Linked DNA regions of Pelodiscus sinensis. The protein of the gene in region 1 interacts with the protein of each later gene in a biochemical or structural test. Links are inferred from orthologs where the notes say so. Each region holds a gene or a part of one and is shown on either strand. Other genes may lie near its edges.

The links.
Region 2: the proteins of STX3 (region 1) and SNAP23 form a complex in vitro, tested with the Homo sapiens proteins (3 studies listed by BioGRID). The link is inferred for Pelodiscus sinensis from reciprocal best matches to the Homo sapiens genes STX3 and SNAP23.

Annotation. Positions count from the first base shown.
Region 1 is NC_134714.1:126,384,036-126,391,894, reverse strand, and holds the start of STX3 (syntaxin-3), read left to right. Parts: upstream 1-4,713; 5' UTR 4,714-4,887; coding exon 4,888-4,917; intron 4,918-7,510; exon of another isoform or gene 7,511-7,543; coding exon of another isoform or gene 7,544-7,552; intron 7,553-7,859. UniProt on the Homo sapiens protein: Potentially involved in docking of synaptic vesicles at presynaptic active zones. Apical receptor involved in membrane fusion of apical vesicles.
Region 2 is NC_134714.1:66,552,181-66,559,571, forward strand, and holds the start of SNAP23 (synaptosomal-associated protein 23), read left to right. Parts: upstream 1-4,238; 5' UTR 4,239-4,400; intron 4,401-7,070; exon of another isoform or gene 7,071-7,192; intron 7,193-7,391. UniProt on the Homo sapiens protein: Essential component of the high affinity receptor for the general membrane fusion machinery and an important regulator of transport vesicle docking and fusion.

The sequences.
Region 1 (7,859 bases):
AGTGCTTTCATGCCCATAGAGAAGGCCTATGGTGGGGGACTCCAGGTTTTTCCTTTAGGGCGCCAGGCCCTCTGGGAGATTTCTGAGCTACTATGCAGACTCCCAGTCTAGAGGGAGCAGTGGGGGTGGGTGCAGGTCACTGAGACACTCAGGAACAGCAGTAACTGGCAGGATGGCCCAGTCTCAGGAGTTTACCAGCAGGCCCAGTCTCAGGAGTTTACCAGAGGGCTCATGTCTTTTTAAGGTGTTTCATGTTCTCCCGTACATAGCCTTGCTCGTATCCCAAATGGCCGCCCTCTCCCAAGTATTGCTGGCGTTATCAAAGTCACAGGCTGCCCTTTGTCAAGATGGCTACTGTTTCTCCATAGCCTTTCAAGGTGAAAGCCCCTAGGAAAGATGGCTGTTGTCGCCCGTCGTTTTTAGGGGGATTCAAGCATGGTTGTCCTTTGGGAAGACAGTAATCTCTTCTAGCCCAGACTCCCAAGTGCTCAGTGTACCCTTGGCACACACTCTGTGTGGTGCTGTGCCCACCTCCAGATATGGCTGGGACACAGAGACAGCCTGCGATAGCCACAGCTAATAGAGATCAGTTTTTTAACTTAGGCAGTGAAGGCCGAGTATTGCCAAGCAGAGCTATTAAGGTGACAGCACGATCTGGGGAATCTTTAGACCCTTTTCTAGGCCCACAGCGCTTTACATTCCCCCCACCCAGAGCTGTGGCAGGGTAGACATTGCATTCCCCCAAATAAATAATCTATAAATACAACTGCTGCCCTCTTTATTTTTTACAAAAAAAGTATTAATAAACGTACCATATATTTTAGAAATGTCTGCCTGTCTGTGAGTCTGTTTGTTCAGGAATTCCTCCTACATGGTAAGAGCTAGGACCACCAAATTTCAGGATACAGCTTCCTCTTATCAAAACATACAGCAAGGTCAGGATTTGGTTGTGCCAAGACAATGGGATGTGCCTGGAATTTTATTGTTTCTTATAAGATGGAAAGGAGGGGCCTGGTAAGAGGGAGTTATACTGTAGAATGACCACAGGGGGGCAGCAAGGTGCCAGAGATGGGGATTGGCACAGCTATACTCCCATTGAGCCAGCAAGGGGCCAGGGTAGAGAAAAGAGCAGCTATCGACTATATATTTCTGACAGTTCGTCTGTCTGTGTGTCTGTCTGGCCCACAGCCAGAGCATATATACCCCTCCTGTGTGTTTGCTGCCCCCAAACTGCTGCAGTGAGAGAGGGCTGGTGTTGCCCTCTTTTCTAGTAGCAACCTTCACCCTAAACACCACATCCCAACCCCAACCCCACCCCCAAGCAATGATTTAAATGAGGTAAGGACCCAAGCAATGCCGGGTAAATCTTCTAGTAGTCTATACATTCCCCACTTCCCAAATAAATACTCTATACATATCATTTCTGCCCTCTTTTTTAATTAAAAATATATTAATTTTTCAAGACATAGAATTGAAACAATGCCACGAGGAAGACATTTAGAGCAGCATTTCAGATATTATCCCTGACAGCCGAATAAAGGAATGCAGCCATACAGGTCTCTTGCTTTCTGGTTTTTGCTTCTGCGTGCTTTCTTTTAATAAAACAGGCCAATAAGCAAAACCAAACCCAATGTCTAGTGGTATGTGTGTGGCCACAATTTTCAAAAGTGACTGGTGAAAGCAGCTTGTGAAATGACCTTGCGTGAGCAGCAAATTTGTCAGCGACCTCAAGAGATGTGCCATTGATAGACACCACTGGAATAGTTGCAGCATTTCTTGATCGAGACTGAAGCATGACTCCTGCCTTCTTCAGGCAGACAGTTAAGCCAAAACATTTTGCAGCCCAGGAAAAGCAGTCAGGGCTTGACTACACTATGGAGAAAATTGACCCTCCGGAGGTCGATCGTCTAGTGTTTGATTTAGCAGAGCTAGTATAGATCCCCAAATTGAACACTGAGGGCAGCCCCTGCCGGCATGGTGTACTCCTCATTCTGTGTGGGGTAAGGGAAGCCGATGTGAGCGTGTGCTCCTGTTGGCTTCCCACAGTGTAGATGCTGCGGCGGCTGGGCTTAAGATAAGCTGATTCCAGCTACGCATTTTGCTGATCTTCCTGGTCTAGTGTAGACCAGGCCCCAGTGAGCAACTGACTGTCCCGGAAGTTATGGGCCAATAAAACACAATCATCAATGAACAGTAGTTCAATTGTCTTCCTAACTTGTGTCTTTGCCGGCATGCAGTACAGCTAGAAGACACTGCCATCCACAGGGTACTCACATAAACGCCATAATCAATGTCTCCGAATGCATCTATTATCACAGCTGCCAACACGATGCTAAATAGTGTGCAAGCTGGAGCACAGCCATGTTTTACTCCACAGCCAAGGGAGCTGAAACGCAGCCTCAGATAAGGACATGAAGCGGCATTCCCACATGGAATGATTTAGTGATGTTCAGAAATTTACTGAGGAAGCGGAACTTGGGGAGGACTGTCCACGGACTCTCTCCGGTGACAGAGTCAAAGACAATAGTCAGATGGGAATGGGAGGCAGACAGAGCTCCTGGCAGAGGGAAGAAGTGGGTGCACACAAAGCCCCTGCCATGGGGGCCCTGGTATAGGGAAAGACAGGAATGGAAGCACAGTGAACCCCTGGGAAGGAGGGGATTGGAAGAAAGAAGGAATGGGGACCCCGGGGGTGGGGGATGGAAATGAGGGAGCATACAGACCCCTGCTATGGAGGGGAGAAGGGGGACTATAGAATGAGGGAGGGAGGAAGGGAGCACAAAGAGTGTTTGCTGTTCGGAGGATGTTGGAATAGGTGTTCATGCAAAGCAGGTGGAAAAATGGGGACCTCTGGTATGGAAGGTAGGGGACATGGGGCACACAGAGACCCTGCCTGGGGGATCCTCACTACAATAGAGGGGGTGTGAGGGTGGCATCCAGGGAGCTATTGGGGCGAGTGGACAGAGGCAAGGAGCCCCCAGGGTACAATAAGCTCATCAGATACAAGCAACATGTGCAACCCCTAGTAACCCCTCCCTAGTCCCTAGGAAGAATTTCTCTGGGGCAGGTACTCTGTAGGATAAGCTCTATGCAGGCATCCTTACAAGCTCTGGGGACAGAAGTGGGGCAGGGAGGGAGTGTAATTCAAATCCAACATACTTATATGCCCCCCATCATTGTGATATCTGAGCACCTCGCAGACTTTAATGTATTGGTCCTCACACACAGGGCAGTGCTATTAAGCCCAATGCACAGATAGGCAAACAGAGGTGCAGAGGGACAAGATCACACAAGAAATCTGTGGCAGGGCAGAGAATTCAGTGTGGGTCTCCAGCCAACACTCTAACCACTAGGCAAGCCTACCCTGACCTTAATTCACACCTTTAGGGCCACTCTGGATCACAGGGCTGTCATAACTTAGAGAGAGGACTGACCTGGCCCCTGACTTGCCCAGAACTAAGGGAGGCACAAAGGTGGTGTAAAGTCATTTTTGCTTCCTCTCCCTTGAGCTGAGCCATGCAATCCCCCCTCACCGAATCTTAAACATCTTCAATCAAAATAGCTCCCTTTCTCAATCAGGTTTCATATTAGCCCAGCTCCCCTCCTCCCTTTCCCCTCCTTTCCATTTTCTTTAAAGATGACAAAGAAGTAAAGAACGTCACAAGCTCCATTTATTATTTCCTTGCAGAGTTCACCAGGGAGGAGCTGAACCTGAAAGGTGCTGGCTCTCACTGGAGCTGGGGACAAGTCCCTCAGGCAATCAGGCTGTCAGCTGGACCTTTAAAGGGACCCTGTCACCTTAAAAATCATCACACACATGCTGGACACAATCAAAGCCCACCCAAAATGCCAAGGCCCTGATGTTGCAATGAGCCCTGGGCAGGTGGGCCCCCAATTCCTGTTGCTTGGGCCCCATCTCCTTCCCTGCCTTAGTAACTGGCCTCAGCAATGATTAAATCCAAAGGAATTTTAACAGCCTTTTAACAGCTGAGGTGTTTGTTCTGGGCTTTTCCTTCTGTGACAGCAGACAAGGCATGGGGAGGTACCATAAATCAGTGTTCCCTGTAAGCTGAGTGCTTGGGTGACCACCCAGGAGAGAATCAAATGCCGCCCAGCTGATTAGCAGAGCGCCCACATGTGTTTCTGTGGGTGGTGCACATATGCGCATGCCTCGGTGCATATAACAAAATTTATTCCGCACAGGGAATGGAATCAAGTTCGAGGGAACATCACATGCAATCCCTGCTCATTTTCCCAAGCGGGGAGGCAAAGGCGGGCTGGCTGAAAAATTCCCATTTGATTACAAGCCACAAGCAGGGCAGGAGAGGTTTCTCTGAGCAATCCTGTTGTCTGATCTGGGCAAACCTTGGAGTCTGAGCCCAGCCCAGCTTGGCCTGCCTGTCCCTTTAATTGGTGTGGCCGGGTGGCTCCCAGGTCATTAGAGAGCCAGGGTGGAGGAGGTCATGTCTTTGATCGCACCGACGTCGGCTGGCCACAGAGCTGCTCACGCCGCCTGCCTCACCTTTGCCTCCCTCGTGGCTGATCCCTCGTGCACCTGCGGGGCAGCTGACTCCTGCACAGGTGGAGGAGGAGGCTCCTCTCTGTCTCCTCCCCCTCTCCGGCCAGCTCGCTCCCGCCCAGTGGATGTCATTGAGGAGCAGCAGCTGGCGGCTGCCTGAGGATCAGCTGCGCCCGGCCGCCCGCGGAGGCACAGAGCGAGAGCAGGGGAGAGCCGAGCCGAGCCGAGCCGGGCCGGGGGTTATTGTTTGTCCCGCTTTAAGGAACCTCCCCCCCTCCCCCTAGCTCGGTGGGAGGGAGGCGAAGCACAGTCCAGGACTTCCTGGAGCCAGCCGCGCCCGCACCTGCTGGGAGGAGCAGCGGGGCACCATGAAGGATCGGCTGGAGCAGCTGAAAGCCGTGAGTTCGCCCCCCCCCCCCCCCCGGGCCGAGCCGGGGGGCTGCAGCAGGGCGTCCCGTGTCCGGGCTAATAATCAGACTGGCCTTTTATAGCGCGTGGGGGGCTCGCCCGCTGTGGGGGACACTTGCGCCCCCCCCCTCCCCCGCGCCGTCCCTGGTCGGTCCCCCCCCCCCCAGTGGTCTGTCCACTGTTGTTCTCCCTCCCCGTGCCTCGGTCTGTCCGCTAGCATTCCTTTCCCCCTCTCTTCTCCCCCCCCCCCCGCCAAGTGCCTCGGTCTGTCCGCTCATCCTCCCCCCCCCCCCCCCCACCAGTGTCCTGGTATGTCCAGTGTCATCCCCACCCCCAGCTCCTTGGTCTATCCAGTATCATCCACTCCTCTCAGCTCCCTTATATGGGTTAAGGAGGGAAATAATTAAGCGTCCCCCCCCCCCCAATTTGGAGACTCTTCTCGCTCCAGAAGAGAAGCTGGAGGGTATTGGGGGGGGGGGGGGCAGCATGATGTGTAATGCTGCATTGGGGGCAGCCCCACTGCAGGGGTATTAATGCTCCGGGAGGAGGAGGGAGTGAGAACAGCATCTGCATGAAATGTCCTGAAGATTAAACTGGTGAAGATTGAGGTTGTTCTGCCCTCTGAGACCAGGGAGTGGGGCACGGGCTAGTGGCCGTTGGCTATCTTAGAAGGAGGAACCTGGAGGGGCAGTTGAGACTGGGGGGGGGACCATTTCTTCAGCCTAACCTTCCTCAACACCCCCTCCCTCCCGCTTGTATTAGGATGAGTTGAGCTGGCAACTTCCTCCTTTGCTTTTCCTCCTGGGGAAGTTTTTTTTTTTTTTTCCTGCCCATTGCTCAGCTTGGCCGTTAACGGCCTTGCCCGCAGTGGGACCCCACAATGACAGTTCCCGCAGGGTCATGCCCGGTATTGCCATGACACTTTTCTCAGTGGCTGTCTTTGCTCCCCTCCCCCCCCACCACAAGGGCACCTGCTGACTGATCATGGGGATGGGTTAGTGCCTGGGGCTACTCTTTAGAGGGTTGCTTGGGAGCACTGCCTCTGGTGCTGGTTTCTTTTGTGTGCGTGTGTGGGGGTTGCTTGTGAGCGCTGGGTGCTGTGCACAATGTGGTGTTAGTGTAAGGACACTCGTGAGCTGCGTTGTGCTTGGAGGGTTGCTTGCACCCACCTTTCCTTATGTGAGCCTGTGCAAGCTCCCAGGGGCCACATGATGGGAGGGGTCCCAGAGGGAGCTGCGCACGTAAGTTAGTGTAGGCTACTGGTGAGAATTGTGTATGAGCCCTTGGCGGGGTCACTGGTGTCAGATGACAGGCCGCTGGGGTGAGGCTGCCTGCTGGCACGGGGTCAGATTCTCACTGCTTTCGTTGCCAGGAAGCGCTTGTTAAACATGTATCAGACAAAGGGATGAACACAGGGAATCCAAGGCCAAACTAAACTCTGTCTCCATCCTGCCAGGGCAGGTCTCTGTCTGTGAGGCTCCAGGGTTAGCTGTCCCCTCCCTGCTCTTTTCCCCTGCCTGCTTGGCACCGGCCCAGGTGCAATACAGGCTGTGCCTTGCCTAGGAGCATGTGGGCAGCAATTGAGCTGAACTGGGTGGGAACTCTGGGGTTGGGTACCCTGTATGCTGCTTCTTTGCTTCAGGGTAGCTCTGTGGCTTTTGGTCAGAGGTATCAGAGAAATTGTATATAGTGTTGTGGGAAGTGGGTCTAGTTCCCAGTCTGGAATGCATCCCGTTCAAGAGAGCAGGTATTTGAAGACTAAACCATCCCTGTTGTGTCCTGTTGCCTGAGGCAACTACATCTGCTGCCTATCTTCTCCAGGTTTGGTGATAGTCCACTCCACCAGGCTGGGCTATAGTGATGAGGGGTGAGAGCATGGGCCTAGACACCTGGAGCTCTTTCCCTGGGTCACTGTGTGACTTTACCTGGGTCTCTCCTCCTGTGCCTCAGTTTCCCCATCTGTGAAATAGGGCTAATGATCCACTGATCCCAGACGGCAGGGGAAAGGCCACACTTTCTGGCTTTGCTACAAAAGGAGAGAGGGGGAAGGTTGCTGTGGGGAATGAAGATGTGGCAAAGGAAGGGCACGGGGGAGGGGAAATCTGTAGGGCTTTGAGCGGGAACAATGACACAACCCAACTCCCTCTGTGCAGGCCTTCCAGAGGTGACACTGCCCCAGCCTTGGGGCCCTGTGCCTTGTTTGAATTGCACCTGCTATAGGAGGCCCTGTGAGGAGATCCAAACAATGGCTCTTTTCATGGGGCGAGAGCAGGCTGTGCCAGAAAACAGGCCCCTGATAGGAACCAGCATCTCCTGAGGTAAATGTTCACCCTAAGGATCACATCAGGCCTGTCAAACTAACAGCTTCCTCCCAAAAAAGCCTTGACCTGCCCGGAATGGATGGATCAGATGGATCTCTTGTCCCAGAGCAGAGGCCGTTCCCAGTCTAGATGTGTCCCTGCAGAACACAAGGGGTTAAACTCAGCCCTTCGCCATCACCCCAGTGACGGCTAGAAAACAAGAGCGCTCAGTTGTTCACTGAAAGGCAGTTTGCAGATTTATTTTCTGCATGGGACCAACCAGAGACAGAGAAATCTGTGTCCTCACAGTCGCCTGATGATTCAGGTACTCCTGTGGGACGTCAGAGACCAATTTCTGCCTTGAATCGGGGAGAGGGGGGGCCTTGAACCAGTGACTCTTGTGTTACAGGTGGACTATTCTGGGGTCAGTCTCTCTCTCTTTGCTTTGGGGTGGGGGTTCATCTTTGTGGTACAGATGTGCTCTGAGCTCTCCTCTTTCTGCTGGTCCTGGGGTTACCCTGTTGGAGGCTGGGAGAGAAGGGGGCGGGGGAGAGTGACAGGGATTTAGCTGGGATTACAAAGCCATCAGCCAGAAGAAGAGGAGATAAAATGCTGGAGGGAGGGGGGAGCAA
Region 2 (7,391 bases), about 60 Mb from region 1:
ATTAACGTTTTTCCTCACCTAGAAGCTGATTTTAGGCACTAGATCTGGTGTTTTAGGAGAGATCTGAAAGAATTTAATATTGATTTAAATCAGGGGTCACCTTTTTAAAGTTCCCGCCGGGGTTCACGTTCCCCCGCACGTCGCCGGGCAGGCGTTACCACCACCGCCCATCCTGCCCCCTGATTGGCCGGCTGCCCTGTCAGTCTGGGCAGGGGAACGCCGCCCGTGCTAACCCCCGCCCCCTTTGCTGCCGCGCGGCCGCTTGTCAGCGGAGCGGCCCGCTTCTCCTGCCCCGGCGCGGCGTGAGTACACGCCGCACACCCCTGACAGGGCCCCCCCACCGCGGCAAGAAGGGCCCGTTCGGCGGCGCCCCAGGGACGGTCTCCACGAGCCGGATGAGAGGGCCTCGCGGGCCGCATCCGGCCCGCGGGCCGTAGTTTGGAGACCCCTGTGTTAGACTATAAGGTGCCACAGGACTCCTTGTCGCTTTTGCGGATCCAGACCAACACGGCTACCCCTCTGATACTAGGCTATACAGGCAGTCCCCGGGTTATGTACAAGATAGGGACTGTAGGTTTGTTCTTAAGTTGAATCTGTATGTAAGTCGGAACTGGCATCCAGATTCAGCCGCTGCTGAAACTGATCAGTTTCAACAGCGGCTGAATCTGGATGCCAGTTCTGACTTACATACAGATTCAACTTAAGAACCCCAGGCTCCGCAGCTTTGCTCTGCTTTGCTCCCCGTCCCCCTGGTCTGCAGACCAGGGGGACGGGGAGCAAAGCGGCGGAACACGCGGGCAGCGGACAGCCCAGACGCGTCTGTGCTGTCCGCTGCCCGCATGTTCCGCCGCTTTGCTTCCTCTCCCTGGTCTGCTGGAGACCAGGGAGAGGGAGGGACCCGTTCGTAACTGCGGATCCAACGTAAGTCGGATCCGCGTAACTCGGGGACTGCCTGTAACAGTGTTTCCCTAATGGTATTTCATGGAACCCAGGAGTTCCATGAAGTGAAAATAAGGGTTCCATGAGAAAATTCCATTACAACAACATTTTTTATTAAAAAAATTAATATTATATGAGTTTTCTTTTTAGATATGTGCAATTAAACTAAATGTTGATCTCGTGACCTTGTTTAGCATTTGTTTATTATTTTCCTTACTTATTTGTGGTCTACTTTTTCAGCTCCATATATTAGACTGTTATTCGGGGTTCTGCAAAATTCTTTCAAGTTTAAAAGAGTTCTGTGGCCAAATAAAATTGGGAAACATTGGTCTATAATGTGCCACAAGACTCGTTGCTTTTTAGAAGCATAGGTGCTTACTTTAAAATGCATCATCTTCCAAAACGTGTGTCTGATATTTTGGCATATTACAAGACCAAATTAACATTTTCACCTACATGTACCCTTCACCAACCTCACACACTGGATATATTTAGATGCAAGTTCACCCCTGTTTTCAGATGTGCTACCATACCTGAGTGACAGAGTGAGTATGGGCATAAAGCAGGGCAGCTACTACCGGCACAGTTCAGATACCAGTATAGCGGTCGGGGAGGAGTTAAAGATCTGTAAATAGGCGTTTGCTTTGATGCTGGAGAAATTCTGCACAACCCAATGGCAAAAGATCAAGAGCAACGGCGTTAGAAAAAACACACACACTATACTGCAAGAGCCATCCCGCGCCGCCTTCCTAGCCACGGCCCACTGTCACCCCCTCCCCCCGGCCTGTCTCCCCCGACACCCCCTGCCCCGCCGCCTCTGCACCCGCTCCCCATCCCACACACATTCCTGAGCCATTACCGATCCCCACCCCCTCCAAGGGAGCAGCATCTCCAGGCGCCGAGCCCCTGCCCGCCAGGACTTTACTCACAGGCCGCGTCCTCCTGGTCCCACGACAGCGCGGCAGCCCCGCCGCCCATCACGCGGCTCGAACCGAGCAGGCCCCGCTGCCTACCCGGGGCCGGCCGCGGCTCCCCCAGGAAAACGGCTGAGAAGCGCGACCCGAGAGGGAAGCGCGGCGCAGGACCAGGGGAGCGTGCGCTCCCGCAGCCAATCCGCGAGCGCGGCACACTGCCTGCACGCTGGGAAACGGCCGTTTCTGCGGATCAGGGCCGCGCTTGGCCTGTTGGCTATTGTAGTTTTTTGGGAGCGGAAATTGCTGTGGTCCATCGCGGCACCCTGCCGCCCGCCAGCAGCAACGCTGATCACACAGGACCGGATGGGGTCCTGGTGCACTTTATATGGTGCAATACGTGTACTTGGCACTTTGCAGAACATGGGAAAAGGCTCCAGCCCTGAGGCGTTTGCCTTGTAAATCACTAACAAGCAGAACAGCTCAGTAGCCGGAAGCCATGGAGACTTTGCTGAGGCTATCATGGGAGAACTCAACATCAGAAAAAGGGGCATCATATGCTTACTAGGTCATCACAGTCTACTTTACGACTATATTCTGCTGAGGGACTCTTGGACTCAACCAGTCTGGGAATCAACAGAATCCTAATGAGTAGCTAATAAGAGAATAACTGCTATTTAAATGTAGAACTTACACTGCTATAGAATAGAATACTATCTGTTCCTTGGCTCTGAACAGTAACTTCCCATCCCCAGCAAATGTAGTTTTTCTTTCTGTCTATTCCTCTTTCCCATTATGGGCCTATTTCACTACCCTTACAGGATAAGTGGTGTGTTACTCTGAGACTAGTCTTACTGATAAAACTGAAAAAGAGATCAGTTCAAAAGCTTGGTTCGCTCATCTGAAAGGAAAGCAGAGGGAAATGGTAGTTTCTGTGGCTCAGGGCAGCAACTGGCAATTGCCTTTTGACAACTGTAGTTTTTTGGAAGCAGAAATTGCTGTGGTCCATCACAGCACCATGCAGCAACATTGATCAATAAGAGATACTACCCATATCCACCCTGTCTCTCTCATATCTTGGGACCAGTAGGGCTACAGGGACATTGCAAACAGCTACTGATATGATACAGAGATTTTTCAACATGAATAAAGGCATTAACATTTGCCCCTATATTGGGGAAGGGGAAGTGTTATCATTCACTATATGTACACTTGAGGTCGTGTTATTGATTCTAGTCTGCAGTTTCAGAAACTTTGGTACATTTCCTGATCTCCCTTACATATTCTGGGGAAATTCACACACATACAAAATCATAGAATCATAGAATACTACGACTGGAAGGGACCTTGAGAGGTCATCGAGTCCACTCCCTGCCTCCATGGCAGGACCAAATACTGTCTAGACTATCCCTGATAGACATTTATCTAACCTACTCTTAAATATATCCAGAGACGGAGATTCCACAACCTCCCTGGGCAATTTATTCCAGTGCTTAACTACCTTGGCAGTTAGGAACTTTTTCCTAATGTCCAACCTAAACCTCCCTTGCTGCAGTTTAAGCCCATTGCTGCTTGTTCTATCCTCAGAGGCCAAGATGAACAAGTTTTCTCCCTCCTCATGACACCCTTTTAGGTACCTGAAAATGGCTATCATGTCCCCCCCCCCTCAGTCTTCTCTTTTCTAAACTAAATAAACCCAGTTCTTTCAGCCTTCCTTCACAGGTCATGTTCTCTAGACCTTTAATCATTCTTGTTGCTCTTCTCTGGACCCCCTCCAATTTCTCCACATCTTTCTTGAAATGTGCCCAGAACTGGACACAATACTCCAACTGAGGCCTAACCAGCGCAAATTGAAAAACAAGACAAAATAATTATGGTTTTTACATGTAGGACTTGACATGTTAGACACCAATCAAGAGAAGTCCTTACAAACGAGTGAAAAATCACCCTACAGGCTTCCTGCCTGCCCAGGCTGGGGACTAGCACTGGGACTGAAGCTGAGACAAGAGGCACGACAAGGCTCATAAGACAAACAAAAATATTTCAGAAACCCAGCGTCAACATCCAAGAGCAGGAGACAAGCAGGATCCCGCATCGCTGGGGAAGAACAAAGGTCGCTGCTGCAGACCCGGCCCCGCTTGCTGAGAGCAGGAAAGAGACTGACAGTCAGCGCGCATGCTCGGAGCTAGCTCGGTGTTCCGGCTTAGGTCGACTGACCTCCGCTCTCCGCCATGTTGATTGTGCGAGTCCGCGCGGCTCGCTCTTTTCTCGCTCTGCTGGGTGGCGGTCGCGACAATGGGGCCAGCCGCCATGCTGAGTGTGGCCCACGAGGTGCCTTTCTCTCCACCATGTTGAATGTGGCTCTTCCTGGTTTGCCGGCAGGTGGGCGGTGCTGAGTTCCGGTTCCAGTTCCGGTGGGGCGGGCGGGGTCGGTGGCTCTGCCTGCCGGGCAGGTGTTGCTGGTGCGACGAGACTCAGTATGGAGCATTAAAGCGACGGCTCCGCTCGCGCTCCGGACTTGGCGGTGGCTGTGAGAGGCGCCAGCTGCAGGTGGGAAAAGGCGGAAACCTCCGGGTGTGGCGCCCGGTCGGAGCGGGGCGGCCTGTGTTGTCCTGCCCTAGGCGGGGTGGGGTGGCGCGGAGTCCTGGTGAGGTGCTCTGGGCTAGGCTGGAGAGCGCTCTTGCCCCCCCCCCCCCCCGGGCTGGCTCCCTCTGCGCGCGTCCGGCCCTAGTGCGGGATCCCGGCGGGAGCGGGGGTGACACCACTACTGGCCCCTGTGAGGTGCAGTGGGTGAGCAGCTGGCGCTGATGGGGACCAGGGGATGGGGCCGCCGGGGCCAACACTGCCCGTCTTACCTACTTGATAAACGCGGCATAGAGCACTGGTGCCCCAAACTTAGTAGTGCCCCATGCAGCCGCATAAAGATAGCCTTGTGTGATGATCTATGGGTTTTTTGGTCTCTAGTGTTTGGTAATATTCCAGTGTTTTTTGCAATGGAAAAAAAAGTTGCAAAAAAAGCAAGCACAATTCTGGGATGCATTAATGCAGGGGTTCCCAACTTTTCCGGTCCTTGTACCCCCCCTTGGCTTTTAGTAAACCTTCCCGTACCCCCTATTCAATATGAAAAGAAATAAATTCTAGACTCTAGAATCCACAACTTTTTTCACTAACACTGCTACTTTTGGAATATTTCAATTAGGATAATCTAGTTATTTACCAAATATTCCCCGCACACCCTTGACAAGCTTCTCGTATCGTATGCGTACCCCAGGTTGGGAGTCCCTGCATTGACGGGAGTGTTGTGAGCAGAACAGGAGAAGCCATTCTTCTGCTCTACTCTGCGCTGATTAGGCCTCAACTGGAGTATTGTGCCAGTTCTGGGCATCACATTTCAAGAAAGATGTGGAGAAATTGGAGAAGGTCCAGAGAAGAGCAACAAGAATCATAAAAGGTCTAGAGAATGTGAGCTATGAGGGAAGACTGAAAGAATTTGGCTTGTTTCTTTTAGAAAAGGGACGACTGAGAGGGAACATGATAGCAGTTTTCAAGCATCTACAAGGGTGTCACGAGGAGGAGGGAGACATTGTTCTCCTTGGTCTCTGAGGATAGGGCAAGAAGCAGTGGGCTTAAACTGCAGCAAGGGAGGTTTAGGTTGGACATTAGGAAAAAGTTCCTAACTGTCAGGGGTAGTTAAGCACTGGAATAAATTGCCCAGGGAGGTTGTGGAATCCCCGTCTCTGGATATATTTAAGAGTAGGTTAGATAAATGTCTATCAGGGATGGTCTAGACCAGTGGTCTCCAAACTTTTCACACCCAAGGTCACTTTTTAAATGACAGAACAAGCCAAGATCTACAGCCCTGCCCCTTCTTTGAAGCTCTGCCCTTTGTATTCTCCTTCTCTCCATCACTTGTTATCCCCAGCCCTTATACTGCTGCTTTTTTCCCCAATTCTTCTGTAGGAAGAGGTTTTTCCAACATTTGGCCTGTCTAGACTGGACCAAATGTCAAAAAAAACTTCTTTTGGAAGCCCCCTTATTCCTTGTGGAGAGAGGAATATAGAGGTGACCGAAAGATCATGTTTGCTCTTCCACTAAAAGAAGTGGAAGAACAAATGCGTCCCTGGATGCAGAAGAATTTTTCTGGGCTATCTCCAGAATCCTGAAAAACTCCTGCAGTCTAGCCATAATCTTGCTGGGTTGAGACAGGATATGTAGGCTCTGGGGTGGGGATGAGGGATTTGAGTGTGGGAAGGGGTGAGGTGTGCAAGCTTTGGGAGGAAATCTGGATGCAGGAGAAGGTGGATAAGGGAACACTGGCTCTGGGAGAGGGTGCCAGGCTGGGCAGTGTTGGGGTCAGATGTAGGGTTAGGGTACTAAGCAAGCCACAGATTTCTGAACCCTCACATCCAGGAATTTGGGTTTGGGTATGTGAGGAGCTCAGGGCAGGGGGTTCTGGTGTATGATAGGCTCAGGTCTGAGGGAAAGGAGAGTGTAGGAGTGTTATGATGCTGTGGCCAGATGGGGGCTTGGCTCCAATTTGGGGTTTGTTGGCCTTGCTTCATTTTTAAATAAACTACTGTGTCAAACAAAGTTTTTTGCATTGTCTTTATTTCTGAGAAGGGCAGGGAACCTGTCTTGAGTCCGGGGTCACTGACCCAAGAAAAGTCAGTTGGGGCCACACAAGTGAGATGCAAAAAAAACCCTCCTCCACCCCATCCCCCTCAAGCTTCACTAATGTGGCCCCAACTGTGTTGGTGGGAACAGGGGATATAGTATTGGGGAAGGGTGCTAGTGGGTGCTTTGGCAGGGGACAGGGTGCCAGTGGGGACAGAGTTCTGTGGCTCGGGATGGGAATGAGGACAGAGTTCGGGGAGTGGGGACAGAGTTCTGTAGCTGTGGACAGGGGAGTGGGGACGGGGCGGGGGGGGGGCAGTGGAGGCAGAGAGTCCCCTGCATCTGCCTCCTCCCAGGATTCTTCTCGCCACTCTCCTCCCCCCCCCCCCCCCCAAAAGCCAGTGCGTGCCTCCTCCTGGTCCAACTCTTCCCCCCCCCCCACACACACAGGGAAGCCTCGTGTGCCAGCTCTGGGGCTGACACCCCTTCCCCCCCCCCACACACACACCCCGGAGCAGGGAAGCCTCACGCACACCTGCCCCAGGGTTGACTCACCCCTCCTGTGCAGTGCAGAGAAGTCGCTGTGTTCCTCCTCTGGAGCCAATGCTCCCTCCCGCAGAACGCCTGGCAGAGCAGCTAGCGCACTTCCGTAATCGCCATTAGTGGTGCTAAGCAGCGGGATTCTGTCCATCCCCGGGAAGCCGACACTACCTCCATTTTCACTTAAGGTAGGTAGTGGGGCTTCTCGGGGGTGGGGAGGAAATGGCAGGGGCGGAGGGGAGCTGGGCAGGATGCCTCACGATTGACTGGTCGAGGCCTTGCGAGCGACCAGTCGATCGCAATCAACCTGTTGATGACCACGGGTCTAGACAATATTTGGTCCTGCCATGAGGGCAGGGGACTGGACTCGATGACCTCTTGAGGTCC